Linked DNA regions of Callithrix jacchus. The protein of the gene in region 5 interacts with the protein of the main gene of each other region in a biochemical or structural test. Links are inferred from orthologs where the notes say so. Each region holds a gene or a part of one and is shown on either strand. Other genes may lie near its edges. The genes, in order: GABPA, STAT3, ETV1, SIRT2, EP300, MAPK1 and APEX1.

Region 1 (4,280 bases), on a different chromosome or scaffold from region 5:
TTGTACCCTTATGGGAATACTCTTAAAAAGTTAGAAGGAGCCTGGGGAGAAATGCCAAATGTGGGTGAAGGGGAGAAGAAAAGCAAAGCACACTGCCATGTGTGTACCTACGCAACTGTCTTGCATGCTCTGCTCATGTACCCCAAAACCTATAATCCAATAAAAAATTTAAAAAAAGAAAAAAAAAGAAAAAATAAATAAATAAATAAAATAAAAAATAAAAATAAGCTGTTTACAATAAAAAAAAAAGTTAGAAGGAAACGTTCTTATCTCTGCTTTACAGATCTATGTCTAAGAAGTCAAGCTGCACATATTCATACAGCTAATTTTCTCTAAGTCTGACTGCAGAGATGTTATTCCTGCTACAACATGGGTAAAATCCACTTTCATCGTTTCAATTTTCTATCTTCTAAGTGCCTATCATTCCCGAATCGCATCTCTAATTTTGGTATTCTTCCTGAACCCCAAATCTATACACTCTATTCAACAGTTCTCATCTCCCTTATAAGTTCTACGAACTCATCCAAAAAAATTAACACATAATCTCATACCAAAACTTGTTCCTTCTTTAATCCCTTTCATTTTTTTCACTGATTAGTGAATGCATATTGTCCACTGACTCGCAGAAGACAGTCATTACACAAACAGCTGTGGAATACCACCTGCCATAAATTCTCCATTCCAGTACCATCGGGTGACACGAGAGAATATGATAGCGTCTGACATGATCAGAAAGACTGGGGAACGCAACAGTAAGAAAACACTACAGTCCGAGCAGAGGTCTTGTCGTGGGCGGGAGCAACGTTGTCCCATTACAGTGATGACTGACAGGCCAAAGGTTAGTAGGTTCGCTGTCTCGTCAGTGTATGTTCTTAAGAACAATCCATAAAGCTGCCTAACGAAGTGTTAGCACTATCATCGTTTGTAGGTGGGAAGCAAACTTTCAAGATTATGACTACTCTTTGCCCTCTTTTGGTGGACATTTTGTCTAAGGAGCTAAGACGGCTACTTGCGCCCGGGGCGGGCAGGCCTAGCCGAAAACCTCTCCCGCGCGCCTGACCTTGGGATGCCCCAGCCAGGATGCGGGCCCGAGACCTCCCAGCCTCCCTGCCTCCCGCGCGGCCCCGATTTGCCCCCTGGGAAGGTATCAGTCTTATTTCTAGGTTTAAGGCAAACTCCAAGGTCTAGAAGCGTAGAGGTCAGCTGTGACCCCGGGCCAGGCCGTAAATGTCCCCAGGACACAGAGCTGCTCTCTCCTTCTAGTAGAGCAAAGGTGAGAGGCAGCCCAGCCCTCGTGAAGAAACCCAGATCTGGAGTCCCAAGAGGCCACGCTGATCTAGCTACCCTCCCAGTCACCTTGCACTCAGTACCGAGTTGCCAAAGCCGCCGCAGCCACCACCACCACCGTCCTACTTCCGGCTCTGGCTCCGCCCCCACACGCCTACCCGCCATCGCAATGCATTATGGGCCGCCGTTTCAGTCGGTCGACGCTCACCGGACAGGAAGCGTCTCGGAGACAAGTCTGCGACCGGACGGCTCTAGGTGAGACAGAAGCCAAACAGGAGGAGGAAGTAGAGGGTAAGTGCTTCCGGGTCCCGTGGCGAAGACTCCGCCATCTTTTCTTCGCCTAATTTGACCCGTTCTCTTTCCCTCCTTGAAACCTTGCTCTGTACGCATGCGCACTTTGTCTAACCTGTCCCCTAGTTCAAGCTGTCTTTCGACTCAGCGTCCTGTTCCTTAGGGTTATCGAGGTGTATAATGGTACAGGGAAAGTGAGACTGTGTAAAACAAAGCGGATTGGGGCGTTGTGCTTCCTTGTGCCTCGTGAGCCTCCGTTGCCTTGGGCGTTTGTTTCGCGCACCCTGCTGGGAGTTGTAGTCCTGGACCTGGAGGTGCTTGGGAGGCGGGAGGGGGGTTGGGGCTTCTCAGCGCCGATTCCGCGGGAAGGGCCCTAGGGCCTCACACTTCTAGTCGCGGGAGCTGAAGGTCTTACCCGGAGAGACGCAGCACGTGGAGCCTGTGCCGCTGCCATTCTCAGCCGGCTCTGGAGCGCGGGCGGGGGCCACAGGGCCGATTCCGGAGCTGGTGAGTGCGGCCGCCGGGGAGGAGGGGAGCGTGGGCCCGCGCGGGCCGGCCTCGTTCCGGGGCCTTTTCGCCCACAGCGGCCCCCCCGCGGCCGCCTCTGTGTTTTGTTTCCGCTGGTCCCCGGCGCTGTGACTCCCATTTCCGTTCGTGGAGACTTGAAGGAGCCGGGTGGGGAGGGGCGGGAGAGGCTGTGCGGGGAGCAAAGGGGAGGGGCGGGGGGCGAGCGGCCGGGAGCCTCGGGGAACCGCGCGTCCCCGGTACCCGCGCTGGACGGGTCGCCTGTCACCTCTCCCTCCCTTCCCAGTCCCCTCCTCCCGCCAGTCTGCATTCCGCGGCAGTCTCAGCCTGCTCAGCTGGGATGTGGTCCTGACACCCCCGGGATTTTAAGAGCAAGATGCAGAGCCTGTCTCATCGCGGGACTCAGCGATTCACTCACTTCAAATCCACTCTTTCTAGAACGACACAGTTACAACAAAACCATTTGTCAGTCTTTATGGTATCCGTCAGGGTTTGTGTTTTGTTTTTAAGCGAGGAAGTAAACCAGGGAAATAACAGGGTAAAGTAGCTTCCCTACTTTTTAAAGTGCCTTGTGTGCTAGAAGACACGCCGGGTGTGCGTGTTCGGATTTAGGGACCCCAGTTTGATCAGATTAGCGGCCGAGAGGACAGTGCCTAATACTGTATTCCAAGATGATTAGAAATTTAGAAATAAAATTCACTTCATAAGTAGTTTCCACTAATACACGTAGGTCTTACTCTTGAGAGGAGCAAAGATTTAGCAGGATTCCCTTGAGCGAATTGCAGAACAGGGCGGTGATAACATTCTTAGGTAGTGTTATCTGGAACTTCAGAAGGAACTGCTCAGCTCTTTAGCAACTGCTTAAGGGACTAGCCTGTCTCTCAGGGTTCCATCCAGACTTTCCAGGCTTCTTTATATTTAGACATACACTGACGCTGGGTGGACTTAAATCAGTTCTACCTGAATTGTGTATACAGGAGCATCTGTCATGACGCATGTATAGTATTGAAGTAATTAAATCCTGAGCTAGATGTTAGGCTGAAGCAAGTCATAGGACCGAGTACTAAATTAAAACGGTTGACTTTACCCTTCCCTCAACTCTTTATATGTAAAACTGCAAACCTACAGAAAAATTCAGGGAAAAAAATCATACAGCGAACACCCATATACCCTTCACCTGGGGGGTCTCAACTGTTAATCTTTCACTCTGTGTGCTTTCTCTCTTTAAATTACATAGATGTATATGCTTTGCTTTTTCTTAGCTGCTACCTTTATTTTTGAAAATAAAAATGTCTTTTAATTTCCGTCGTACTGAAAAGCATCTGATAACTTGGGAAAATGTGCAGTTAATCTCGCAGGTACCCCCACACTCCACTTAGTTTTATAATTACAATATATTGGGAGGAAAAAAGCTCTGTAATTAATGCACTCCAGTGAATCCTCAAATAGGTTGACAACCCTCAAATTTATCTGTAGTTTCAAACAGGAATGTTCCACCTATCAGTATTTTAAAAGACACAAGCTGTTCCCAGAACTTTTCGTTAAATTCAACTTCAGTTTGTATTCCATCTTGTGAAACGTTCCGAACTCGGTTGGATGGAATCTAGCAGTACCAAAGTGTCAATGAAAGTATATGAAGTTGCTCTATGCAATTCTGACGGGGGCAGCCTTTAGATGGAGAGACTGCAAGTAATTTTCTCTCAATTTTCCTAAGTATTGACATACAAACCTGGGGAATTGGTTTCAGAAAAAGATAAGACTCACTCAAAAACTGTCATGAAAAATTTGGACTGTTTCTCAAATCTCTGTTTTGCTTCTCTAGACTAAGCATAGAGAGCCGAGAGAGAAAAAGATCATTTAAGAGATTGGGTAATATTTTTTGAAAGATCATTTAAGAAACTGAGTAATATTTTTTTTTTTCTCCAAAAGGGCATGGGTTTTTGTTTGGTTTGGTTTGGTTTTTTCTCTGGCACTTTCTAGGGAATGGTCTGTAATTTTTTTGAAAGGTCATAGGACAAATTTCTTTTTAACAACTTATTTTAGTGTTTATATTAGGGGTGCTGTTTTATAATCTTTAAAAAATTGGGAGTAGACCTCCTTATAAGTCCTGAAAATAAATGATTTTTTAAGTGCTGCTCTGCTGTAAACCTGATTCTCACTTTTTTCTGTGTAATTTC
Region 2 (3,515 bases), on a different chromosome or scaffold from region 5:
CCATGTTGGTCAGGCTGGTCTTCAACTCCCGACATCAGGTGATCCACCCACCTTGGCCTCCCAAAGTCCTGGAATTACAGGCATAAGCCACCATGCCTGGCCTTTATTTTATTTTATTATTTTTTTTTAGATGGAGTCTCTCTCTGCCACCCAGCCTGTAGTGTAGTGGTGCGATCTTGGCTCACTGCTATGTCCATCTCCTGGGTTCAAGCAATTCTACTGCCTCAGCCTCCCTGAGTAGCTGGACTGGCATACACCATCATGCCCGGCTAATTTTTGTATTTTTAGTATAGAGACAGGTCTTAGTCATGTTGGTCAGGCTGATCGCGAACTTCTGACCTCAGGTGATTTGCCTGCCCTGGCCTCCCAAAGTTCTGGCTTACAGGTGTGAGCCACCACGCCTGGCCTATTTTAACATTTTTTAAAGAGAAAGATAGAATCTCTCTCTTTGACCCAGGCTGGAGTGCAGTGGCATGATCATGTCTCATTGCAACCTTGAACTCCTGGCTACAAGTAATCCTCTTGCCTCAGCCTACTGAGTAACTGGGACTATAGGTTCATGCTGCCACACCCCGCTAATTTTTAAATTTTTTATAAAGGCAGGCTCTCGCTTTGTTTCCTAGGCTGTTATGGGACTCCTGGGCTCAAGTGATCCTCCCAGCTTTGCCTCCCACAGTGCTGAGATTATAGATGTGAGCCTATAATTATAGACAGCTTGGCCAATTACCTCTGAGAAATGAAGAATTATGAATTTTACCTTTCTTCAACAAAAGGTTATGGGAGAGTCTACTGACTTTTTTTTTAATTGGATAATTTCTTTTTAAATAGGTTGCTGGTCAAATTCCCTGAGTTGAATTACCAGCTTAAAATTAAAGTGTGCATTGATAAGTAAGTACTCCTATCTTAGTTCTTGTTTTCAAATGAGGAACAGAAAAATGAGAACTTTTATAGGCATCATTTGAACTCGAGATTCTATCTTTATTCAGAGATGTTTTTGGGGATGAAAGTTTACAAAAGCCCTGGGGTGCATTGTCATTTACTTGCCAGAACAAAGCCACAAAGCTGAGGGTATAGGTGTGATTTGTGGTTGCTGTTGTTTAGCGTTTTACTTGTACATGTAATTCATGCATTTTATATATAAGACTGAGATCATGTGTTAATTGATGACTGAGATACATTCTGCAAAATGTATCATTAGGCAATTTTGTTGTGCCAACATTTATGTAGAGTAGATGGTCTTTATACAAACTGGGTGGCAGAGTGCCTATGCTATGTGGTAGAGCCTGCTGCTTGTAGGCTGCAAAGCTGTACAGTATGTTACCATGCTGAATACCGTAGGCAATCGTAACACACATCACAATGCGGTAGGAGTTTTTCAGCTTATCATCTTATGGGACCACTGTCATATGTGCAGTTTGTTGTTGACTGAAATGTCTTTATGTATTCTTTCCATACATAGCGTGTGGAAAGAATAGATCTTTTTTTTTTTTTTTTTCTTTTTTTTTTGAGACGGAGTCTTGTTCTGTCGCCAGGCTGGAGTGCAGTGGTATGATCTCAGCTCACTGCAACCTTTGCCTCTGGGTTCAAGCGACAATTCCCATGCCTCAGCCTTCCGAGTAGCTGAGACTGCAGGTGCACACTACCACGCCCAGTTAATTTTTTTTTTTTTTTTTGGATTTTAGTGGAAACGGGGTTTTACCATGTTGGCCAGGATGGTCTTGATCCCCTGACTTTGTGATCCACCTCGATCCCCTGACCTTGGGAGGCTGAGGCCTCCCAAAGTGCTGGGATTACAGGCATGAGCCATCATGCCCAGCCTTTTTTTTTTTTAATTGTTCCACACTTTTACCATATAATGGAATACTCAAAATTTTATAATACCTTTCAGGATGTAAGATACACATACCCTTTGAATATATTAGAAAAGAGAAAATACATACTTAGTTGATATAATTATCTGGAAATTTCATGACAATGAACTGGAAAATAATGAAATAAGGGAGTTGACAAAGGTGGGAGGTTTAATAAGTACATATGCAATGTGAAACACGGGTTCCCCTTCCTATGGGGAGGCAACCAACTGTGCCTACTACACAAAGGTGTTATGATGCACTGATAAACTGTAACTAAATTGTTCATAGAAATGCCAGGAGCACAGAGGTTTTTTCAGGAGAGTAAATAACAGGTGGTCAAAGTAGGCTTTTTGAAGAAACATGGACCCTGTTTTACTGACAACGGTCTATGTTCTTACAGAGACTCTGGGGATGTGGCAGCTCTCAGAGGGTAAGTTTCGCCTAGAGGCTTCCTTTTGTTCCGTTTAACTTAACTTTATCCTGACTTTATACTTGGTCACCTATATGGCTGACTGTTCTCCTGCAATTCAGATCCCGGAAATTTAACATTCTGGGCACAAACACCAAAGTGATGAACATGGAAGAGTCCAACAATGGGAGCCTTTCTGCAGAATTCAAACACTTGGTATGTGGGAGGAGCTTCCTTCACACAGGGCTTCTGGCTGAGGGAGAGAGCTGGGGAGAGCCTCATGGGACACCTGGCCTTTTTCTTTCCTTGCAGACCCTGAGGGAGCAGAGATGTGGAAATGGGGGCCGAGCCAACTGTGATGTAAGTTTTGTTGGGGGTGTTTTCCCTGAGGGAGAAAGGGGAAAAGACCCTTCTTATTACCCAGAATTAGAAACATCAACCTGTCCTTTCAGCTATAGTTAATTCCAAAAAGCCATTGCAGGCCAAAGTGACCTGATCAGAAGTTCCATGTGCTGTGGCGTTCTGTGGCTTGGAGCATTTCTGTGAATATCTGGGAGTTGGCTCCTCCTTAAGGAGAAGTGGAAAGTCCCTTGCTGAGTCGTTCTCCACACCCATGTGTTATAAAGTAGCTTTCCACCTTGCCTGGGGCTTTCCAAATTCCCCTTCCAGATCCTGCCGTTGACTCTGCTTGGCTCCATTCTCAGTGTCCCATTTTTCTCTCTCACTGAGGTAGGATAGATGGTGTAAAAGCAACAGTCCCGAGCTAAACTTTAAAATAAATGACCACCTTGTGTTAGCTTGCTTAGGAAAAGAGAAAATAAAGTCAACGAACAAACAAAAACTCATCTTGTTCTTTATCCCCCTTATTTTCTGCCTTTCATTGATTCAGTTGGATTCTTAATGTCAAGTGTCAAGAATAATTTTTATTTTTTTAATAGAAAAAGGTAAATATGACCTAAAGCTAGTTTAATGATTTTTAAAAATTGTGATACCCTGTTCTTGTTCTCACATTTATCCCCTGAACAATTCTTCCTCTTTAAAACGTAGCAGTCCTAGCTAGGTGCGGTGGCTCACACCTGTAATCCCGGCACTTTGGGAAGCCGAGGCAGGCTGGTCACTTGAGGTCAGGAGTTTGAGACCAACTTGGCCAACATGGTGAAACCCCGTCTCTACTAAAAATACAAAAATTAGCTGGGCATTGTGGTGTGTACCTGTAGTCCCAGCTACTAGGGAGTCTGAGGCATGAGAATGGC
Region 3 (4,014 bases), on a different chromosome or scaffold from region 5:
ATTGTGGATCGCTCCTCGAAGTGTATACAAGAACCGCACAACAGCGCTATAAGGAAATCAGCCCAATAGTGGACCTAACACCCCAATAATGAGAACTGGAGACTCGATACACATGGTTTCAGTATCCCCGGGCGCCTTAACAATAAGCTGCGGGTTTCCGAGGAAGTCGAGTCTCTCCGTGGCGTTTCCAGGCTGCGGACCCAGCGCCTACCCGCCGAGCACCCCCTAGGGCCGAGGGGCGAGGGAGACCCGCGGGAAGGGGCAGCAAGCCGCCTGATTGACAGCCCGAAATCTGATCTTGTGAAAGAGACGCGGAGCCAATGGGAGGCAGCGATCCATCAGTTTGGATTGGAGGCCCCTGGAGGAGAAGTAGAGGAAAAACCACCGAATTGAGCTCTGTCAGAGGCGCTTTCGGCTTTCAAGGGGGAAGTGCTGGGCAATAATTAATGTTTTTATTAAATTTGGAGGGAAGTTTTTGCAGCCTTTCGCCTAGCGTGGCCTTCAGGTGGGTCTTTCCAACAACTTTCTATGTCTCTCCAGATAATTGCATGGTTGTGGGTCGCAAAAACTATCCTGATGAAAGAGGTGTCTCCGTCTCTTTAGTCCCGTTAGGTGCAAAGCAAGTCTCGTTGATCGCCATTGCTAGTTTTGCACACGTTTGCGAATCAGAGCTGCCCGGGGTACACCGACCGCGCAGGGAAACATCGAGAGTGTAAATAAATACATCGCCTCTTGTTCGGATTTTTGCTACTACCGAAAATATATAAATTGTGAACTCTCTTGGTTCTCTTTGGATCCAGGTGAAGGAGGCGGTGTAGGGAGGGTTATTTTTGTGAATGGGACTGTCGGAGGGTAATTAGCTATGCAAATTCAAGAGCTTCATTCATGATTTTTTTTTTTTTTTAAGCCTAAAAGCCATCTTGTTCCCCTCTAGGTTGATAGAAGTCCAGATCCCGAGGAAATCTCCAGCTAAATGGTCAAAATATAAAATACTGAGCTGAGATTTGCGAAGAGCAGCAGCATGGATGGATTTTATGACCAGCAAGTGCCTTACATGGTCACCAATGTGAGTGATCAGTTTGAAAGTTGCTGTTTATAAACTTGACTCCGACGGGGGTGGGGAGAGGCAGAAAATGAGAAGGGAGGGGGCACGGGGGTTGGGATTGCAGATACTTATCTGCTTTGTTGCCACTGTAGGGCGACTCTGCTTCTAGAAGCCCAGTCTTCAAAATGAGCTTACCTTTCAGTGATTTGGATAAGGCATAGTTTTGTTTTTAAGACCCCTTTTTTTCTGATTAAAGTGCCCAAGATGAGTGGAAGAGGAGGTGGAGGGCAGCAGCAGCTGCTGCACTCAAAGTTTTTGGCTGGGTTTGTCTGCCACATTGAAAAGAATGAAGTTGAGACAAATGCTGACACTTTTTGTTTATATGGGGTGTTTTTGTTTCTTATTCCCTTCCCCCCCGTTTTATTTCTCTCTCTTTTTTAAATTTCTCTACTCTTTTGGTTTTTTTTTTTTGGTTTGGTGCGGGGGAGGGGAGGGGTTGTCCAAGAGAGAATAAAATTCACTGTTTTAATCTAGCATTGAAACAGCCTAAAAACAACTTTAAGTGTAAATGCTTAAGCTTGTTTTGATGCTGAGATACCATGAATATATGACTGATAAATAGTAATGTCCTAGGATCGGCACTGGGAAGCAACTCTCCCTGACTGCTGAATTCTCAACCTAAGCTTTCACTGTCAAATAAGTGAGAAAATGAATATTACAGTTGATACTATGGACTTTTATTTTTCTATTCAGAGAGAAGATCCACTAGACTTGTGTATGCGTGCGTGCATGTGTGTGTACGTGTGTGTGTGTCATCTGAGGTTTACATTCTTTTAAAGGATTTTATCTTTCCCTTTGTAGAGTCAGCGTGGGAGAAATTGTAACGAGAAACCAACAAATGTCAGGAAAAGAAAATTCATTAACAGAGATCTGGCTCATGATTCAGAAGGTGAGGTTTGATTTTGGGCTGAATCTTTATTTTTTTACCTACACTCTCCACCCTGCTAAAAGAAAAGGAGCACTTCAGACTTTAAAATAATAAACTTTGAAATTACTGAATTTAAGACTTTAACTTGGAACAATTTACATAATGTGGCAGTTTGCATGGAAGAATATTTTATGGTCCTTATCACAAACTAATGAAAGAAGGAAATAAAAACTTAACAATGACATCCTTCTTTTAATCATTGTTTTGTGTTTAAATACCTTTGTCCATATGGCATATAACTCACCCCATTCACTAAGATAACAATTAAAAAATGTCCAATACAGTGGGACAAATTCAACAGCTATGTACACTGCTTACTTTCTTTCTTTCTACTTTATTGCAAGTTAAACAATATTAGTGATTGTTTGGTTTTCCACCCCTTTACACTAAAACCATCTACTGTAAACAGAATTTTCAAGGGCGATTTTGATGACTAAATTGTGAGGTCATAATACCTTGTTTATTGGCCATAAAATGTTCACTGAATCATACTTAAGGCCTACTTAATCATTATAATACTGTTTGGGAAATTAGTTTGTAGATTCTTTTTATGAACTCTTGGTAGGAAGTCAATATATTACAAATTATTGCAGCCATATGGAGACATTCATAATAAACTTAATATACTTAGATTTAATTATCAAAGTTCAGTTGGCAATTTTAATTAGATATACTGAATTCTGAAACTTCCTCAAATCTTCATACTATTTAGACACCTCCCTCCCTCCCTAACATGACCATATAGTTTTGAACTTGATGATAACCTAGTGCCAGAGAATTGTGTGTCTGACTTTTATAAACCTCTTATTGTAGTAATTTTCCTCTAAAAACTTGTATTTGAAGTGATTTCTTTTAGTTTTGAGGTAAAAAAGTTGAAAACATAGTATTTACAATTATACCATGTATTGTCATATCTTTTAGGTAAGATTCAGAAGATATAAATAAAATGCTTTTCGGTTTCCTAATCTTCCCCTCACTACTAGTTTAGCTGGAGTTAAATACATTTGAGAAAGATTTCAGTGAATAGACACACATTCATTTCAGCCTTTTTGTGAATTCAGGTAATCCTGAGCTTATTTAGTAAGTTGTTTGTTAAAAAGGAAAAAGAAAAGATGATTGACTATATTCTTTAGTTGACTAAAATAATTTCTTAAAGAGTTGCTTAATAGGCATGAAAAGTAGGCAGCATTATTGAGATACTGAAGTCATGCCTCCTATTTTCTTTTTATGTTGACTACATCTCTTGAAATTAAATTTATATTTAATACCAATTTCATGACAAACATTTCCATTTAATGCAGACTGCAGATTTGCAAATCTTATGTTTATGTCTTTGACTTGTTTTTTAGAACTTTTTCAAGATCTAAGTCAATTACAGGAAACGTGGCTTGCAGAAGGTAAGGCAAAAATTGCTTTAAAAGGGGGGAAAAGCAACTCTGGAAGGAAAAAAAAAAGTCCTGAACTTGCTGTCTTAATATTCAGCCCAATTAATTGAGCTCTAAAAGAGCCACCTCATGTGTCATGCATACATTAGAGCCTCTGATGAGTTTGTCTTTGGGGACTCTGGGGCTGCACTACCCAGTGTCATCACAAATTACCAGGAGAAATTGCTTCCAGCTCACAATCACATCTGCTTTTGGCAAGAACTAATGCACCAAGACTTCAAGTTCTAAGCCTCTGTTCAGATTTTAATTGCAATTGATCAGGTTTATATTATTGTACCTCCAGAGACCTCCTAGAGCCAGAACCCGGCTGGCTTGCTGTTTCCTTTCGAGCAGCGCATATCATTATTTGGTGTTCTGGTGGAGGACTTTTCTGATGGCAGAAATTAGTTTCTCTGGGTTCATCAGGACGGGATGCTTCAAGATTTAAGTGCAAGTGTCTTCTTTCCACCTTGTTCACAACACAGAACGTTAGGTGTGTATCCAATACTTAGGAAATCTGTGGGTTTAAAATAAATGTTTGGGAGATACGAGGATTT
Region 4 (3,879 bases), on a different chromosome or scaffold from region 5:
GTTCTGACAAAATGCCAGCTGAGTGCCCCTGGGCTGAGGAGTCCTGAATGGCCCAACTGCGGGCAGCTGGGGCAGTGTACAATTCACATTACCCCCGTTATGTGCCACTGACAGTGCCGTCACAGGCAGCACCCACGGTGTCATGCGGTCCACACAGAAACAGCTTAAAGACAATTCCCGACTACTGACATGGAAACAATGCTCTATAAATGTGTGCTGAATGAACGAATGGACAGTGGAGCAAGTGACTTAGAATTCAGTGGGTTGCAAGTGACAGAAATGCTTGCTGGCCTTTTTTTTTTTTTTTTTTGAGATGGAGTCTTGCTCTATTGCCCAAAATAAAATAAAATAAAATAAGGCTGGGAATAGTGGCTCACACCTGTAATCCCAGCACTTTGTAAGGCCAAGGTTGGCAGATTTGCTTGAGCCCAGGAGTTTGAAACCAGCCTGGGCCACATGGCAAAACCGTGACTCTACAAAAAATACAAAATGTAGCCAGGCATGCCGGCACGCACCTGTAATCCCAGCTACTCAGGAGGCTGAGGCAGGAGGATCACTTGAAGCTGGGAGGTCGAGGCTACAGTGAGCCATGATTGTGCCACTGTACTCCAGCCTGGGCAACAGAGTGAGACCCTGTCTCAAAAAATAAAAGAGGTGTTTACTAAACAGAATGGACACCCGAGGAGATGTCCAAGTGACGGAGATGTGCTCATACAAGCGGTGGAGGGGGTGGGTGTGCTGGACCTCCAGACCCTGGACCAGAGCCTCTTACTGCTTTCTCTCTATTCCCCTTCTCCACACCCAGGGAAGATCTTCTCGGAGGTGACGCCCAAGTGTGAGGGCTGTCAGAGTGTGGTGAAGCCTGGTGAGCCTCGGGCCAGGGTCCTGTCCAGGTGGATTTGGGTGGGGGTCCCCTCCTTCCTCTGACCCCTTCCCAAAGGCCACACCCCCACACATCTGGCCACCTCTGTCTCTCTGAACAGTGCCCCAGATCCATCCTGGGGAGAGGGGAGTCTGTGTCTCTGGCCGGTCCCCGCTGCACCCAGCTCCCACCCCAGCCTCCGGGTCTGCCCCTGCCCCCTCCCGTCCTCTCTTCCTCCCCGTGTCACTGTCTCTGTTTCTGTCTTGGCCTCAGATATCATCTTTTTTGGTGAGAGCCTCCCAGCTCGTTTCTTCTCATGCATGCAGTCAGTAAGTGCCCACTGCACCGCCCTCCCTACCCCCAGCCCCCACCTCCTCCTGTGCTGGGCCCCTTGGGGGCAGCCTGAGCCCTGCCCAAGAAAGGTTGCCTCCCTGGCTGTGGAGGGGTGGAAGGAGGTTTGCTGCTGGGGGCGGAGGAGGGAGCGGTGGCTCAGCCTGGGCAGAGGCTCCCGACCTCACCCCTCCCCGCAGGACTTCCTGAAGGTGGACCTCCTCATCATCATGGGCACCTCCCTGCAGGTGCAGCCCTTTGCCTCCCTCATCAGCAAGTAGGTTGGGGGCTGCGGCTGGGAGGGTGGCTGGGCACCCAGGACCAGGACAGACCCTGATCTCTCAGCTCCCCTCCCACCAGGGCACCCCTCTCCACCCCGCGCCTGCTCATCAACAAGGAGAAAGTTGGCCAGGTAAGAGCCCTTCCTCACATCCCTTCCCTCCCACCAGCTTCCTCAAAGGGAACCCCTGCCGGGGAACCCCAGTTCTTTGGACTCCTCAGTTCAGACCCTGGGGCTCTAGAATCCAGAGGCATCGGGTTCCAGGCCTCTGGGACATCCACCACCCCTTTGAGCAAATGATTGAATTCCAACTCAAACCAGCTGAACCCAGAACAAGAAGGCCAGGCTTCCAGGGCCTGAGGAGGAGGAGGCGGTGGGGTGAGGGGAGGTGGTCTAAAAAAAAATACAAAGTCCTCCAGGTGCGGTGGCTCATGCCTGTAATCCCAGCACTTTGGGAGGCTGAGGTGGGTGGATCATCTGAGGTCAGAAGTTCGAGACCAGCCTGGCCAACATAGTGAAATCCTGTCTCTACTAAAAATATGAGAAAGTAGCTTGGTGTGGTGGCAAGATGCCTGTAATCCCAGCTACTCGGGAGGTTGACGCGGGAGGTTGAGGCAGGAGAATCAGTTGAATCCGGGAGGCGGAGGTTGCAGTGAGCCAAGATCTCACCATTACACTCCAGCCTGGGCAATAAGAGCAAAACTCCATCTAAAAAAAAAAAGAAAAAGTCTGTGCTCTCAGCTCTCTCTTCCCTACCCCACCCCACCCGCTCGATGGCAGCTGGACCCTTTCCTGGGGATGATGATGGGCGTTGGCGGAGGCATGGACTTTGACTCCAAGAAAGCCTACAGGTGAGGCCCCGCCTGGGGTCAGGGGCAGCCAGGAAGGGACAGGGTAGGTGGGAGGGAGGGCACAAGGCAGAAGAGAGGAGCAGGCAGGGGCGAGCCTGCCTGGGAACTCTGATCTCCTGTTGAACCGCAGGGACGTGGCCTGGCTGGGTGACTGTGAACAGGGCTGCCTGACCCTTGCTGAGCTCCTCGGATGGAAGGTGAGGAGCCAGGCGACCCCAGCCTGTCCTGAGGCCCGTCCCTAGACCCTCCCCCAGCCCCATCTGTCCTCTGACCCCATGATGCACAGTGACTTTTGACTTCTGTGACCTTTCCCCCTGCAGAAGGAGCTGGAGGACCTTGTCCGGAGGGAGCACGCCATCATAGATGCCCAGTCAGAGGCAGGGGCCCCCAACCCCAGCACTTCAGCTTCCCCCAGGAAGTCCCCACCACCTGCCAAGGAGGAGGCCAGGACGACAGAAAGGGAGAAACCCCAGTGACAGCTGCCACTCCCAGGCAGGATGTCCAGCCCCTCAGGGACAGCTGAGCCCCAACCAGGCCTGGCCCCCTCTTAACCTGCTGTTCTTGTCTGGGGAGCTCAGAACAACCTCCCTATCTCTTAACCACTCCCCCCTAGAACTGGGGTCCCAGCGACCCTGCCCTCCAACCCCAGCAAATCTAACACCTACTAGAGACCAAGGCTTGGACAGGCGTCTCTAGCAGCCCCACCATCTCTAACCACTCCACTAATCATTAACCACCCCCACGGGGCCAGGCCCACCCCAGACTTCTAACTCTTCAAGGACAGGGAGCTTCGGGCCCCCACTCTCTCTCCTGCCCCCAGGGGCCTGTGGCTAAGTAAACCAGACCTAACCTACCCCAACAGGGCTGTGGGCCTCTGAATGAAACCTACACCCAGCATAGGGGAGTCTGAGCCAGAGGGGCTCCCAAGTCTCTGCCTTCAACACCCAAAGTGGGTGGTGGGCCCCTTCACATGGGACCCACTTCCCATGCTGGGTGGCCACAAGACATTGCTTGTTGTAGACAAATTAAAAACAAAAACAACTAACAGTCCGGTCTGGCCTCTTGCTTCTTCTGCCGCAGCCAGGGAAATCGCTGAAGGGAGGGATTAGGTCTCAGGCCACTGAGAAACCAGAAAGTCTCCAGGCTCCAGAGTGAGGGGTGACAAAAGGGTCCTCACGGCGGCCCCTCATGGCTCTGACCCCTGGACTCCCAGCCTGCCAGTGTCCCTTCCTCTAAGCGTTGTCACTGAAAGCCTGAGCCCCCGAAAGAGGGAGGAAGGTTGACTTCAGATACCCCAGCCCCGCCTCTTCCCCTGCTCAGCTTCCTCTCTGCACTTCCTGCCACTGCAGGCTTCTCCTCCGAGAACAGGTAGGGCCCCCAGGGACCGAGCATCTGGCATCTTCAGCCCCTCTGCCTCCCTTTGGTATCAGGCAGCTGCCCCCCCACCAGCCCTGCCCAGCACCACCCACAGCCTCCTCCCCTGTCACCGTACCCAGGCAGGCATCTGCCTTGCTCTCCCCTCCTCTCCCCTCCTTCCTGCTGTGGCCTGGGCAGGG
Region 5 (3,515 bases):
AACTAAAGATACAAAAACAAATAGACATACATGAGATACTTGGTTTTGGTAGAATTAACTCAAGTTCTGGGTGAAATTTGAGCCAAGTCTAAAGTCTGTGAGATACTAAATTTTATTCTAATGTCAGAGTAAAAACAGTTTGGTACCGATGAAAGCAGGAATAAAAGGTAGTGGAACTGAATATCAGCCTTAATTGTTGACCTTTAGCTTATACTAAATCTGACATTTTGTAAAATGAGATTCTTACCTTAACCTAATACACCGAAAATAATAGAAGCATAAAAGGGGTTGGGCATGTGGACTCACGCCTATAATCGCAGCACTTTGGAGCTTGAGGCTGCGGATCACTTGAGCTCAGGAGTTCAGGACCAGCCTGGGCAATATCCTGAAACTCCATCTCTACAAAAAATACAAAAATTAGCCAGGCATGGGAGCATGTGCCTGTAGTCCCAGCTATTTGAGAGGATAAGGCAGGAACATCACTTGAGAAACAAAATAAAAAAGAATTACTTCTATTTTTCTATTTTAGAGGTACAAGATATATAGTGTGTTATAATATGCATATTATTTAAGATCAGTGTTCACAGTGAGTTTGGTTGTTTAAGGGCAGATGGTGCAAAGATACTTCTTTATTTCTCTTTTTTACTCTAGATGGTCCTCTGCCTGATCCAACTATGATCCGTGGCAGTGTGCCAAACCAGATGATCCCTCGGATAACTTCACAGTCTGGTAAATAGTGAAAAAAAATTATTTTAAAAGAATCCCTGATGTACTGCAAGATAATACCTGCTATCTGGATACCCACTTTATGTCAACAGCAAGTGTCATGATAACCTGCCTGAGAAATTCAAAAAACCCCTTGGAGTTGGAGCCCTTAGAGGAAGAGGGGGTGAAGAGCAGGTTGGCTGGCAGATCACTGGGCAGGTGACATTAAATGATGCAGCATCCATTTTAAAAGAAGTGCAGGCTGGGCACGGTGGCCTAAAGCTGTAATCCCAGCACTTTGGGAGGCTGAGGCTGGTATATCACCTGAGGTCAAAGTTCAAGACCAGCCTGGCCAATGTGGTAAACCCTGTCTCTACTAAAAATACAAAAATTAGCCAAGTATGGTGGCTCAGGCCTGTCAGTCATCCCATCTACTTGGGAGGCTGAGGCAGGAGAATCTCTTGAACCCAGGAGGTGGAAATTGCAATGAACAGATCATGCCACTACACTCCAGCCTGGGCAACAGAGCGAGACTCTGTCTCAAAAAAAAAAAGGTACATTTGTAGAGTGTAAAATTTAGTTTGGAGATCCTGTTAATGCCTGTATACAACTGCTGCAAATGAGACAGATATATTTATACATGGAAGATTGAAAGCAGGTTTATTAGCCCTGATAAAATGTTATAGAATTAGACATAAGAATTATTTTATTCTTCAATTTCACAAAGGCATTCAGATCTACTATTTTGTACATATTCACAGGTTTGAATCAATTTGGCCAGATGAGCATGGCCCAGCCCCCTATTGTACCCCGGCAAACCCCTCCTCTTCAGCACCATGGACAGTTGGCTCAGCCTGGAACTCTCAACCCGGTTAGTTTGCCATCTTTGGGTAATCTCTTTGGCCTTTACCTGGTATTTTGAAAATCCTGTTTGTTCCTGCTTAATCCTGTTTGTTCCTGCTTTGTAAATTCTCACAGTCATTTAAACAGACCATAACTCCTAGTTCTTCTGTAATTCTGTAATTTTAATGTATTTAGCCCTATTAGAAAGCTGACAAAAAAATAAAAACAGCCAGGCCCTTATCCCTGGAGTCTCAATGTTTAGTAGCCTGCATGCATATTCACAGTCACTTCTCTTCCCTGATGTCTGTCTTCCCTTCTCCAGGCAGAGAACTGTCTGTCGTTTGCAAGGGTGATGGTGTGTTTGACTGGTTCTTGAGACCAGAAAAGAAAGACTAGGCATCTCCTGCTCCTTAGGCGAACTCTTAACCAGTCCATCTCTTCACACTGACCCCAACCCTCCTGCTGCCCTTTAGAGTTAGCTGGTGCCTCTGATTCTTCAGCCTTTTGAGGGGTTCCTGAGCATTACTACTTCTCACTAATCTGCCGTTTTCAACAAGGAGTTCTGTCCTTCATTTCAACCTGTAAGACAGATGTTCTTAGCTTACGAAGTTTTTGGCTGGCCTTTGGTACTACAGATTTCTTTCTTTAAGGCCTGGATTTGTGTAGGGTAATTTTAGAAGTGTAACAATCCTGGAGCATTTGTGGACCGTGAATGCTACCAGATTGTGCCACAACGTGTAAGATTTTATTTGTTTTTACATATTATGGTTCTTAGAATTTGTGCTATTACTACATCACTGATGTGAGCTCATGAAATTGTGATTCACTCTCCTCACTTAGAGCATGCAAAGAAAGTTACCTGCTATCCTTGTTAGAGCTAGGTATATTTGTATATCAAGAGAATGTATGTTTGTCCCATTCTTATTATTTCTTGAGCATAGGCCTAGGTAAGCTGTGAGGCTATTCCCGTTTATCTTGGCGCAACAGTCAGTTGTTCCACAACTTTCTTCCTATTCCTCTCCAGCCCTTTTCACCTATACTCCTGTCTTTGACTTTTCTCTGCTTAATAAGCCTGACATTAGGATCATTTGATGATTTCAGTTATAGTAGAATGAATAGTTTGGTGCTCTGGTTTTTTGCAGCCTATGGGCTATGGGCCTCGTATGCAGCAGCCTTCCAGCCAGAGCCAGTTCCTTCCTCAGACTCAGTTCCCATCACAGGGAATGAATGTAACAAATATGTCTTTGGCTCCGTCCAGCGGTCAAGCTCCAGTGTCTCAAGTATGTCTTATAAGTGGATTTTTTTTTTAACTTATTTTTGATTCTTGAAATTTCTCTTGACTTAGGTTTTTATAGGAAAGAGTGGCAGCAAACAATGAGTGAAAACAGATGATTCTTTAAAAAATAACAATTTTGGACTTAGGGCATTCAGAACATGAAGAGATTATGACATAGCAATGGTGTTGTTACAAATTAGGAAATAATTTAAATGGATGGTTTTAATTTTTTTTTTGTAGTGAACACTTTTAAAGTAAAATCTTAGAATTTACTAGACCGTAGAAGGAACTCTGGCTGAAGAGAGCATAGGGAGGCCCTAGAGTACTATGCACTCAATTCTGCCATTTTTCTGCAGTGACTAAGGCCATTCTGCTGAATGGTTTGAAGTCTCTTTAGTTAAGTACTTTATTGATGGTGCTCTCCAAAGATATATCCCCAGTAATAGGGTTTTTACACTTTATGAAATAGACACATTGCTACTGTTTGTTTAATCAGTTTGTGTCCTAAATGCATATAACATGCCTGTATAAATATTTCCTTCTGTTTTGAATTGCTGTCTTGTTGTTTTTTAACAGGCACAAATGTCTAGTTCTTCCTGCCCAGTGAACTCTCCTATAATGCCTCCAGGGTCTCAGGGGAGCCACATTCACTGTCCCCAGCTTCCTCAACCAGCTCTGCATCAGAATTCCC
Region 6 (4,276 bases), about 1.9 Mb from region 5:
CGACCCACCACTCCCTAATCCCTTTTGCTTTTTTTGGAGACGGAGTCTTGCTCTGTTGCCCAGGCTGGAATGCAGTGGCGGCTCACTGCAACCTCCTCCTCCCAGGTTCAAGCCATTGTCCTGCCTCAGCCTCAAAAGTAGCTGGGATTATAAGTGCCTGCCACCTCGCCTCGATAACTTCTCTCCACCCCACCTCCTACGGAGTCTTTGCTCTGTTGCCCAGGCTGGAGTGCAGTAGTGAGATCTCAGCACACTGCAACCTCTGCCTCCCGGGTTCAAGCAATTCTCCTGCCTCAGCCTTTCAAGTAGCTGGGATTACAGGCATTCACCACCTCGCCTGGCTAGTTTTTATATTTTAATAGAGACGGGGTTTCACCATATTGTCCAGGCTGGTCTTGGACTCCTGACCTCGTGATCTGCCCACCTCGGCCTCCCAAAGTGCTGGGATGACAGGCGTGAGCCACCGTGCCTGCCTTTAATTTTTGTATTTTTAGTGGAGACCTGGCTCTCAAACTCCTGACCTCAAGTGATCCGCCCGCCGAGGCCTCCCAAAGTACTGGGATGATAGGTGAGAGCCACCGCGCCCTCCCTTCTGCTTTATATTTCTTCACAGTACTTACCACAGCTTGAGTATTAAATGTATTTGTCTGGCCGGGCGCCGTGGCTCATGCCTGTCATCCCAGCACTTTGGGAGGCTGAGGCAGGCGGATCACTTGAGGTCGGGAGTTCGACAGCAGCCGGACCAACATGGTGAAACGCTGTCTCTAAAAAATAAATTAATTAAAAACAAACAAGTAAATAAATAAACGCTGTCTCTAATAAATAAATAAATAAATAAATAAATGTCTCCTCTCTCTAAAATGTAACTTCTATGAGGGTGGATCCCCAGGAACATAGAGTGTGGTCAACAAACATCTGAGCTAAGCTCTGATTCTCCTATCCTCTCAGTGTCTCCTTTTAATCTAGACAATTGTGCTTCTCACTTTCTCAGTATGGAAATATCTTTCTCAGTCTGGGTCATGTCTTTCGGTTTCTGCCCCAGTGCCAACGCCTCTTAGTTTATCAGCGTGTGGGCCACGGATTAGCAGAGGCCTGAGCTGTGGCGCCGCCGGGCTACGGCGCGTCGTCAAGCCTCAGGCACAGCTCCGAGCCCTCGCTGGTTCTGTTAGGACCCTGCTCCGGCGCGGGCCCCGGCCACATGTCACTTCAGTCCCATAGGTTCTGCCCCACGTCTGTCTCCCTGAGTCTCTCAAGAGCCGAGTCCCGCGCCTCCGACCCCGCGAATACACGTGACCACGCCCGGGGGTGGCCCCTCAGTCAACGCAGCCGCAGTGCCCCACCCCGAGCCCGTCGCTTCCGCCGGCCCGCCTGGCCCCGCCCCATCCACGAAGAACCAATCTGCACGCACGTTGCTTGGCCCCCTCCCCGGCACTCTCCTCGGCGCGCGCCCCTCCCTCCGCCCGCCCGTCTGTCTGGCAGGCAGGCAGGCAGGCAGTCGGCTCGAGCGGCTGTGGGCTCTTCAGGTCTCCCCCCCGGCGTCTTCCTTCCTCCTCCCGGTCAGCGGCGGCGGCTGCTCCGGCGGCGGCGCGGTCCCTTCGGGAGGGGCGACAGGAGCCGAGCGGCGGCCGCGGAGCGTCGAGTCCAGTGCGGCGGAGGCGGCGGCGGCCCGGCAACCAACATGGCGGCGGCGGCGGCGGCGGGCGCGGGCCCGGAGATGGTCCGCGGGCAGGTGTTCGACGTGGGGCCGCGCTACACCAACCTCTCGTACATCGGCGAGGGCGCCTACGGCATGGTGTGGTGAGTGTCCGTGCCTGGCCACGCCCGACCTCCCCACCACCGGGGGCCGCGGCGGACGCAGCCTCGGCCTCGCCCGTGCCTCGGCCTCGGCAGCCGCGGCGACCTCGAACCCGGACTTCACCGCGGTCCGCGCGCCGGGACTCGGGCGGTGCCCCGGGCCGATTGAGACCCGGGCCCGCGGTCGCTCGGGAAGGGGCGCAGGGAGTGGCGTGGGGGGCGGAGGCCGGAGGCCGGAGGCTGGGTCTCGGGCCCAGGGCGCAACGCGGCCTTTAAAGTCTGGACCCTCGGGAAGGCAACGGAAGCGCCCCCACTCCTCAATTTGCTAACATCATGGCTTGCTTGATTGTAAACTGGGAATTCCATCAGATGCTTGTCGGTGTTGGCGGCGGCTGCTGAGGTCCTGAAAGCGATTTGTCTCCGCGTGTGTGCAGAACACCAAAATAGTCATTTTTTTTCTACTCGCCTTTGCAGCCAACGGCTTTGATTAAATATCCTCAGCGGTGCTAATGGTGGTCTGCGCGCAGGCTTTATAAAATGCATTGCTGACAGCAGTGTTATTTCCGTCTTGAAGTTTTTACTTTAAAGTGGATTTTAATATCACACTATTGGCGTTTCAGGAAGGTTAACTCAGCCTCAGTTTCTTGATTTATTAAAGATCCGTTTAGAGTTGGGCCTAATTTGACTTTTTTTTTTTTTTTAGTCCCCTAGTGAGCTCTTTTACCAGCATAAATGCTCCCAGATGTTTTAGCCCAATTGCTGTGGACTTTAGTGGTCAATAAGTATGCAGCCTTTCTGGAGTTTTTGCAAAATCACATGTAGGCTCCCTCATCTTGATTTAGGTCCCTTAGAAAAGTGAAGTGATGGTGACTGTATTGTTTTTATTAGAGCAAACTAGCTGTAACATTTTGTGCTGGTGAAGACTTGTGGAAGTAGATTCCCTTAAATCACAGTGTCTTTTGTGTTGACCGAAGGAATTAAACCGATATTTTATTGAGCACTTCATGGTAGGTACTGTGCAACATACATGATTTCATTTTATTTGAACAGCCACATTGAAGGAGGAAAAGATGGTGTTATTCCTTTTTTCAGGTGAGAAGGTATTTCAGGTGATAAAGTATTTTGAGGTGAAGTTCAGGATGAGGTAATAGAACTAAAGAGTTATTCTTAAGATTGTAGAGTGAGATTCTACTTCACACACCACACCTCTTTTCAGCTGTTTTTAGGAAAACACCCTGCTTTCCTTAGGGTAATTAATAATTGCAGAATTTTGTGTATTTCACTGTTATAAAGTAAATGTAAGTCTATTTCAGAAGTGTATTCAGATTTCAATCGTCATAATTTTAGAAATGCAATAGAAGGCATGTTTTGCCAAGTATTGCAGCTAGATAGAAAGATTACTTAAAATTTTTTTAAAGAGACTTTAATTGAATCTTTCATATTTTCACTTTTTTTTTTTTGAGATGGAGTCTCGCTCTGTTGCCCAGGCTGGAGTGCAGTGTCAAGATCTCTGCTTACTGCAACCTCTGCCTCCCAGGTTCAAGTGATTCTTCTGCCTCAGCCTCCTGAGTAGCTGGGATTACAGTATTTTCACTTTATTTAGGCGCAAAATGCTGAATACAATTGTAAAAATTAACATGAACTCACAGGTTTAGGAGCCAAGAGAGAATTTAAATTAGGTCGAGCCTAAAAGAAATAAGGCCCTAAAGCCAGGCGGGGTGGCTCAAGCCTGTAATCCCAGCACTTTGGGAGGCTGAGGGGGGTGGATCACAAGGTCAAGAGATCGAGACCATCCTGGTCAACATGGTGAAATCCCGTCTCTACTAAAAATACAAAAAAATTAGCTGGGCATGGTGGCGCGTGCCTGTAATCCCAGCTACTCAGGAGGCTGAGGCAGGAGAATTGCCTGAACCCAGGAGGCGGAGGTTGCAGTGAGCCGAGATCGTGCCATTGTACTCCAGCCTGGGTAACAAGAGCGAAACTCCGTCTCACACACACAAAAAAGAAATAAGGCCCTAAAAAGTAATGGAGAGGAAGTATTGCCAATAACATCATTTCTGTACCATACATCTCACTGTTGTTGCACTCACTGGGAAGTGTGCCCGTGAACGTGTCTCATTATGAGAGGCTCAGAATTTCCCATCATGTCCTTTGGCCCTTTTAACAAAATTAACTTATCTAAAATGTGGACTGAAAAAAGTCTTTTAAGTTTAGGACACATCACTTGAAAAGATACCCCCATCTGATAAGGTTTCCCCTATCTGATAAGGTTTTTACTAGTCTGAAGTTTAGATCTGGGAACTAATTCTGTCAACTGCTGTAGGCTCGTTTGACCTTCTGACTCTCCGTTTGAATGCTAGGTCCTCTTATTATGATTTTCCTTTCTAACTAAAACACAAATGCAAATATAATTGGGTATTTGAATCCTAGATTCAAATTATAGCCTTTTATCAGGTTGATGACATACCCTATTAACCTTCTC
Region 7 (4,016 bases), on a different chromosome or scaffold from region 5:
CAGCTACGTGGAAGGCTGAGGCAGGAGAATTGCTTGAACCCGGGAGCCGGAGGTTGCAGTGAGCCGAGATGGCGCCATTGCACTCCAGCCTGGGTAACAAGAGCGAAACTGCGTCTGAAAAAAAAAAAAAAAAAAAAAAAAAGGAGTGTATATTCAGGGCAACTGGAATCTATATTCCTACTAAGCATTTTTTAAACAGAATGTTTCGAATCCATCTCTATTACACTGTTTATCATGCTGAAGAATAAACATCTATTTATATATCTGATTCCACAACAAAATCATAACATCTATTTCTAAACGCTTAGCACATAAAATGCGCTCAATAAAAGGTAAACTAACTTCTCAGATCCACCTCCAAGTGCCTATACCTCTTCTAGCTATCAGCCCTGTGATGTCAATAAAGTCACATAATTTCCCTGAGACTCGGATCAAAAGCTGTAAGAACGGACAATGCACCCAAGGCCCCACTTAACTAGTATTTAGGAAGATGGAAGACTAATTCCGTGCGGGGAAGTGCGCGGAAAACTCTCAAGTCCCTTACTAACCCACCTGTGCCCGGAGGCGTGACATAAGTCCGCCGCGGGTTCGCCAGCACCTTGCCATCCCGCACCACTCCCACGCCAATCTTATTGGCGCTGCCTTCAAAACCGAGCACCGCCGGCATGGCGAAGCCGGGGAGAAAACGCCGACAGGACTCCTAGCAACCTAAGAAGTGGAGGTCCTTCCAAGTCCGCGCTGTGCCGCAGCTTTCCGGGGCACAGAAGAAGAAGGCGAGACTGCAGATAGCACTGCGAGAGACACCACAGAACTCCCGCGAGCGGAGACCCGTCAAGGCCCCTCCAGGGACCTGTCTTCCTAACTGCCAGGGACGCCGAGCCGCCTCTGTGCTTTACATTCCTATCAGTTTTTCTATCCCTTTCCTATGGTCCAGCCCAGCCTTCGCTATTGTTTTTTTCCCCTCTTGCACAGCATTAGGATCTTAAGCCACATTCAGAGAATGTGCCGTGCATCTGGCACAACAATAAACACCCCGAAGGAGGGTTGGGGCCTTAAGTCTCCTGGGGAGAAGGGAGGCTAGGCCAAGTGTCTCCATTACGTGGTACCAGACAGACCAATCACGCACATTCTTCTGCCACGTGACTGGAGTCTCGGATCACGTGACCAGATCCGCTACCCACGTGGGGGCACAGCGTGCACCGTTCTTTGTGCTCGGGTTAGGAGGAGCTGTGCTGCGTTCTGACCAGTGCAGGCAGATACGGGGTTACTCTTCTGCTCGTAAGAGGGGCTTCGCTGGCAGTCTGAACGGCAAGCTTGAGTCAGGATCCTTAATTAAGATCCTCAGCTGGAGGGCAGATCTCGCCAGTAGGGTAAAAGGCACTATGAAATGATCTTGTTAGTGGGTGAGGGGCTGAAGGGCATATGATGCACGGAGGCTGGGAAAGGATTGAGACATAACATGGTTTGAAAAGCGGGGACCTGGTGCGGGGACGCTTTAGGGGAGGAGTCTTCTCCCCAGGTTTAGCTGATTTCATTTATTTGCGTCTGTAGGCAACGCGGTAAAAATACTCCTTCGGTGGGCGACACGGTACAGGTGCCTCCGAAGGGCGTTCGTTACGGGAATGCCGAAGCGTGGGAAAAAGGGAGCGGTGGCAGAAGACGGGGAAGAGCTCAAGACGGGTAAGAGAATGAAATAAGCCCCTCTTCCTAGAAGCTGCGGCGGGAATTTCCTTGATAACGGTAACTACAGGCCGCTCATTTTTTAAGGGGTTTGTGAAGAAGTAGCGGTAACATCACACTTTTGTTGGGTTTATAGTTAACGCCGGATCGAGGTTGGAAACTACCAACTTTTTGTCACTATGTATTACTCATTTTATAGAGCCAGAGGCCAAGAAGAGTAAGACGGCCGCAAAGAAAAACGACAAAGAGGCAGCAGGAGAGGGCCCAGCCCTGTATGAGGACCCCCCAGATCAGAAAACCTCACCCAGTGGCAAACCTGCCACACTCAAGATCTGCTCTTGGAATGTGGATGGGCTTCGAGCCTGGATTAAGAAGAAAGGATTAGATGTAAGTGGAATTTAAGGAGGGGAAGAGAGTATTTTTTCCTTTTTTTAAATATCATTTTCTACTTTGGTAGAGATATTCTTTAGTATTGAATGATCTTAGGGGTTTAGTCACCCCTTTTTTCCGTTTAGCCTTCAGGCTGTTTTGTTTTTCTCCTGCCCAGGAGAGCTTTATGTGGGGCTTCCCCACATTTTGCCAGTCGTGTTTCTAAATGTCCGTTTCTTCACTTCCATTGCCATTTTCGTTTAATGTTCTCTCCTCTTCCCAGACTGTTGCAAAAACCTTTTTTCTATACTTCCTCCATTTTATCTTCAGCATGTCCTCCATTCCATTAACTATAGCTTAAAATCTTAGCTTGCCATCCACTGCCTATGGAAAAAACACAATCTCCTTAGTAGAGCGTGTAATACTTTATCTTCCTCTATTAGTTTTTATTTATATAGCTTATAATTGTTTAAATGTTGTACTACTTGAACTCATTAGGCCAAGGGACTGTTTAACCTGTGCATATCTATGACTTAGCACATATTCAGTAAATGTTCTGCTGAATTGATGTTTTCCACCTTTTCACTTATAGTGGGTAAAGGAAGAAGCCCCAGATATACTGTGCCTTCAAGAGACCAAATGTTCAGAGAACAAACTACCAGCTGAACTTCAAGAGCTGCCTGGACTCCCTCATCAATACTGGTCAGCTCCCTCCGATAAGGAAGGGTACAGTGGCGTGGGCCTACTTTCCCGCCAGTGCCCACTCAAAGTTTCTTATGGCATAGGTGAGACCCTGTTAATCCCTAATGCCTGAGCTCTTCAAAACCAATAGCTAATTCTCCATCTCTGCCCCACCTCTTGATTGCTTTCTCTTTTCTTGTGGTTTTTTTATGCTAATTCTGTTTCATCATTTCTGTAGGTGAGGAGGAGCATGATCAGGAAGGCCGGGTGATTGTGGCTGAATTTGACTCGTTTGTGCTGGTAACAGCGTATGTACCTAACGCAGGCCGGGGTCTGGTACGACTGGAGTACCGGCAGCGCTGGGATGAAGCCTTTCGCAAGTTCCTGAAGGGCTTGGCTTCCCGAAAGCCCCTTGTGCTGTGTGGAGACCTCAATGTAGCCCATGAAGAAATTGACCTTCGCAACCCCAAGGGAAACAAAAAGAATGCTGGCTTCACGCCACAAGAGCGCCAAGGCTTTGGGGAATTACTGCAGGCTGTGCCACTGGCTGACAGCTTTAGGCACCTATACCCCAACACAGCCTATGCCTATACCTTTTGGACTTACATGATGAATGCTCGATCCAAGAATGTTGGTTGGCGCCTTGATTATTTTTTGTTGTCCCACTCTCTGTTACCTGCATTGTGTGACAGCAAGATCCGTTCCAAGGCTCTCGGCAGTGATCACTGTCCTATCACCCTATACCTAGCACTGTGACACCACCCCTAAATCACTTGGAGCCTGGGAAATAATCCCCCTAAACTACCATTCCTTCTTTAAACACTCTGAAGAGAAATCTGCATTGTATTTCTCATCTATAAAAATAGGAATCCTCCAGCCAGGCTCCCGCAGCAGACTTAGATTTCTTTTAAGCTCAAGATTTTTTTGAGGGTTTCTTTAAAAAAAAAAAAAAAAATTGAACAAAGGCTACTAGTAACTTTGTTTGAATTATCCACATGAAAATAAAAAGCCATAGTTTCATCCTTGCTGTCTTTGTGTCTTACCCCTTCGTGGGGCTACACATTCCCTTTCTCCTTATATTTTCATGCATACAAGTTAACAACTGAAAAAGGGTAGAGTCATGACCTTATTTATTTACAAGCACAGGATAAGTCCCTAACCTCCCCAAAGACAGAGCAACCCTACCCAGCCCAGTTAAAATACTGCAACTGGGGGGTAAAAAAGGTTGGAAGGAGGAATTAGGGAAAATTCAGGAATAGGGGAACGTATCCCACATCAAATAGTTA

Evidence for each region.
Region 1: the proteins of EP300 (region 5) and GABPA form a complex in vitro, tested with the Homo sapiens proteins (2 studies listed by BioGRID). The link is inferred for Callithrix jacchus from reciprocal best matches to the Homo sapiens genes EP300 and GABPA.
Region 2: of the proteins of EP300 (region 5) and STAT3, one has a biochemical effect on the other in vitro, tested with the Homo sapiens proteins (2 studies listed by BioGRID). The link is inferred for Callithrix jacchus from reciprocal best matches to the Homo sapiens genes EP300 and STAT3.
Region 3: of the proteins of EP300 (region 5) and ETV1, one has a biochemical effect on the other in vitro, tested with the Homo sapiens proteins (2 studies listed by BioGRID). The link is inferred for Callithrix jacchus from reciprocal best matches to the Homo sapiens genes EP300 and ETV1.
Region 4: of the proteins of EP300 (region 5) and SIRT2, one has a biochemical effect on the other in vitro, tested with the Homo sapiens proteins (3 studies listed by BioGRID). The link is inferred for Callithrix jacchus from reciprocal best matches to the Homo sapiens genes EP300 and SIRT2.
Region 6: of the proteins of EP300 (region 5) and MAPK1, one has a biochemical effect on the other in vitro, tested with the Homo sapiens proteins (2 studies listed by BioGRID). The link is inferred for Callithrix jacchus from reciprocal best matches to the Homo sapiens genes EP300 and MAPK1.
Region 7: the proteins of EP300 (region 5) and APEX1 form a complex in vitro, tested with the Homo sapiens proteins (4 studies listed by BioGRID, with this or other methods). The link is inferred for Callithrix jacchus from reciprocal best matches to the Homo sapiens genes EP300 and APEX1.

What each region holds. Positions count from the first base shown.
Region 1 is NC_133522.1:31,940,255-31,944,534, forward strand, and holds the start of GABPA (GA-binding protein alpha chain), read left to right. Parts: upstream 1-1,478; 5' UTR 1,479-1,578; exon of another isoform or gene 1,579-2,163; intron 2,164-4,280. Other genes in the region: ATP5PF (ATP synthase peripheral stalk subunit F6, mitochondrial), read right to left, coding at 1,446-1,462.
Region 2 is NC_133506.1:121,758,031-121,761,545, reverse strand, and holds part of STAT3 (signal transducer and activator of transcription 3), read left to right. Parts: intron 1-828; coding exon 829-888; intron 889-2,253; coding exon 2,254-2,283; intron 2,284-2,384; coding exon 2,385-2,478; intron 2,479-2,574; coding exon 2,575-2,622; intron 2,623-3,515. UniProt on the Homo sapiens protein: Signal transducer and transcription activator that mediates cellular responses to interleukins, KITLG/SCF, LEP and other growth factors. Once activated, recruits coactivators, such as NCOA1 or MED1, to the promoter region of the target gene.
Region 3 is NC_133512.1:44,476,272-44,480,285, forward strand, and holds the start of ETV1 (ETS translocation variant 1), read left to right. Parts: upstream 1-1,200; 5' UTR 1,201-1,230; coding exon of another isoform or gene 1,231-1,260; 5' UTR 1,261-1,309; coding exon 1,310-1,396; intron 1,397-1,906; coding exon 1,907-1,994; intron 1,995-3,382; coding exon 3,383-3,430; intron 3,431-3,826; exon of another isoform or gene 3,827-3,889; coding exon of another isoform or gene 3,890-3,950; intron 3,951-4,014. UniProt on the Homo sapiens protein: Transcriptional activator that binds to DNA sequences containing the consensus pentanucleotide 5'-CGGA[AT]-3'. Required for olfactory dopaminergic neuron differentiation; may directly activate expression of tyrosine hydroxylase (TH).
Region 4 is NC_133523.1:34,434,202-34,438,080, reverse strand, and holds the end of SIRT2 (NAD-dependent protein deacetylase sirtuin-2), read left to right. Parts: intron 1-805; coding exon 806-865; intron 866-1,135; coding exon 1,136-1,191; intron 1,192-1,392; coding exon 1,393-1,469; intron 1,470-1,552; coding exon 1,553-1,604; intron 1,605-2,252; coding exon 2,253-2,323; intron 2,324-2,453; coding exon 2,454-2,520; intron 2,521-2,643; coding exon 2,644-2,799; 3' UTR 2,800-3,370; downstream 3,371-3,879. UniProt on the Homo sapiens protein: NAD-dependent protein deacetylase, which deacetylates internal lysines on histone and alpha-tubulin as well as many other proteins such as key transcription factors.
Region 5 is NC_133502.1:191,951,653-191,955,167, forward strand, and holds part of EP300 (histone acetyltransferase p300), read left to right. Parts: intron 1-651; coding exon 652-729; intron 730-1,466; coding exon 1,467-1,576; intron 1,577-2,690; coding exon 2,691-2,828; intron 2,829-3,400; coding exon 3,401-3,515. UniProt on the Homo sapiens protein: Functions as a histone acetyltransferase and regulates transcription via chromatin remodeling. Acetylates all four core histones in nucleosomes. Histone acetylation gives an epigenetic tag for transcriptional activation.
Region 6 is NC_133502.1:193,829,239-193,833,514, reverse strand, and holds the start of MAPK1 (mitogen-activated protein kinase 1), read left to right. Parts: upstream 1-1,466; 5' UTR 1,467-1,678; coding exon 1,679-1,797; intron 1,798-4,276. UniProt on the Homo sapiens protein: Serine/threonine kinase which acts as an essential component of the MAP kinase signal transduction pathway. MAPK1/ERK2 and MAPK3/ERK1 are the 2 MAPKs which play an important role in the MAPK/ERK cascade.
Region 7 is NC_133509.1:55,179,682-55,183,697, forward strand, and holds APEX1 (DNA repair nuclease/redox regulator APEX1), read left to right. Parts: upstream 1-1,201; 5' UTR 1,202-1,278; exon of another isoform or gene 1,279-1,370; intron 1,371-1,551; 5' UTR 1,552-1,622; coding exon 1,623-1,680; intron 1,681-1,879; coding exon 1,880-2,067; intron 2,068-2,641; coding exon 2,642-2,834; intron 2,835-2,968; coding exon 2,969-3,486; 3' UTR 3,487-3,750; downstream 3,751-4,016. Other genes in the region: OSGEP (tRNA N6-adenosine threonylcarbamoyltransferase), read right to left, coding at 553-667.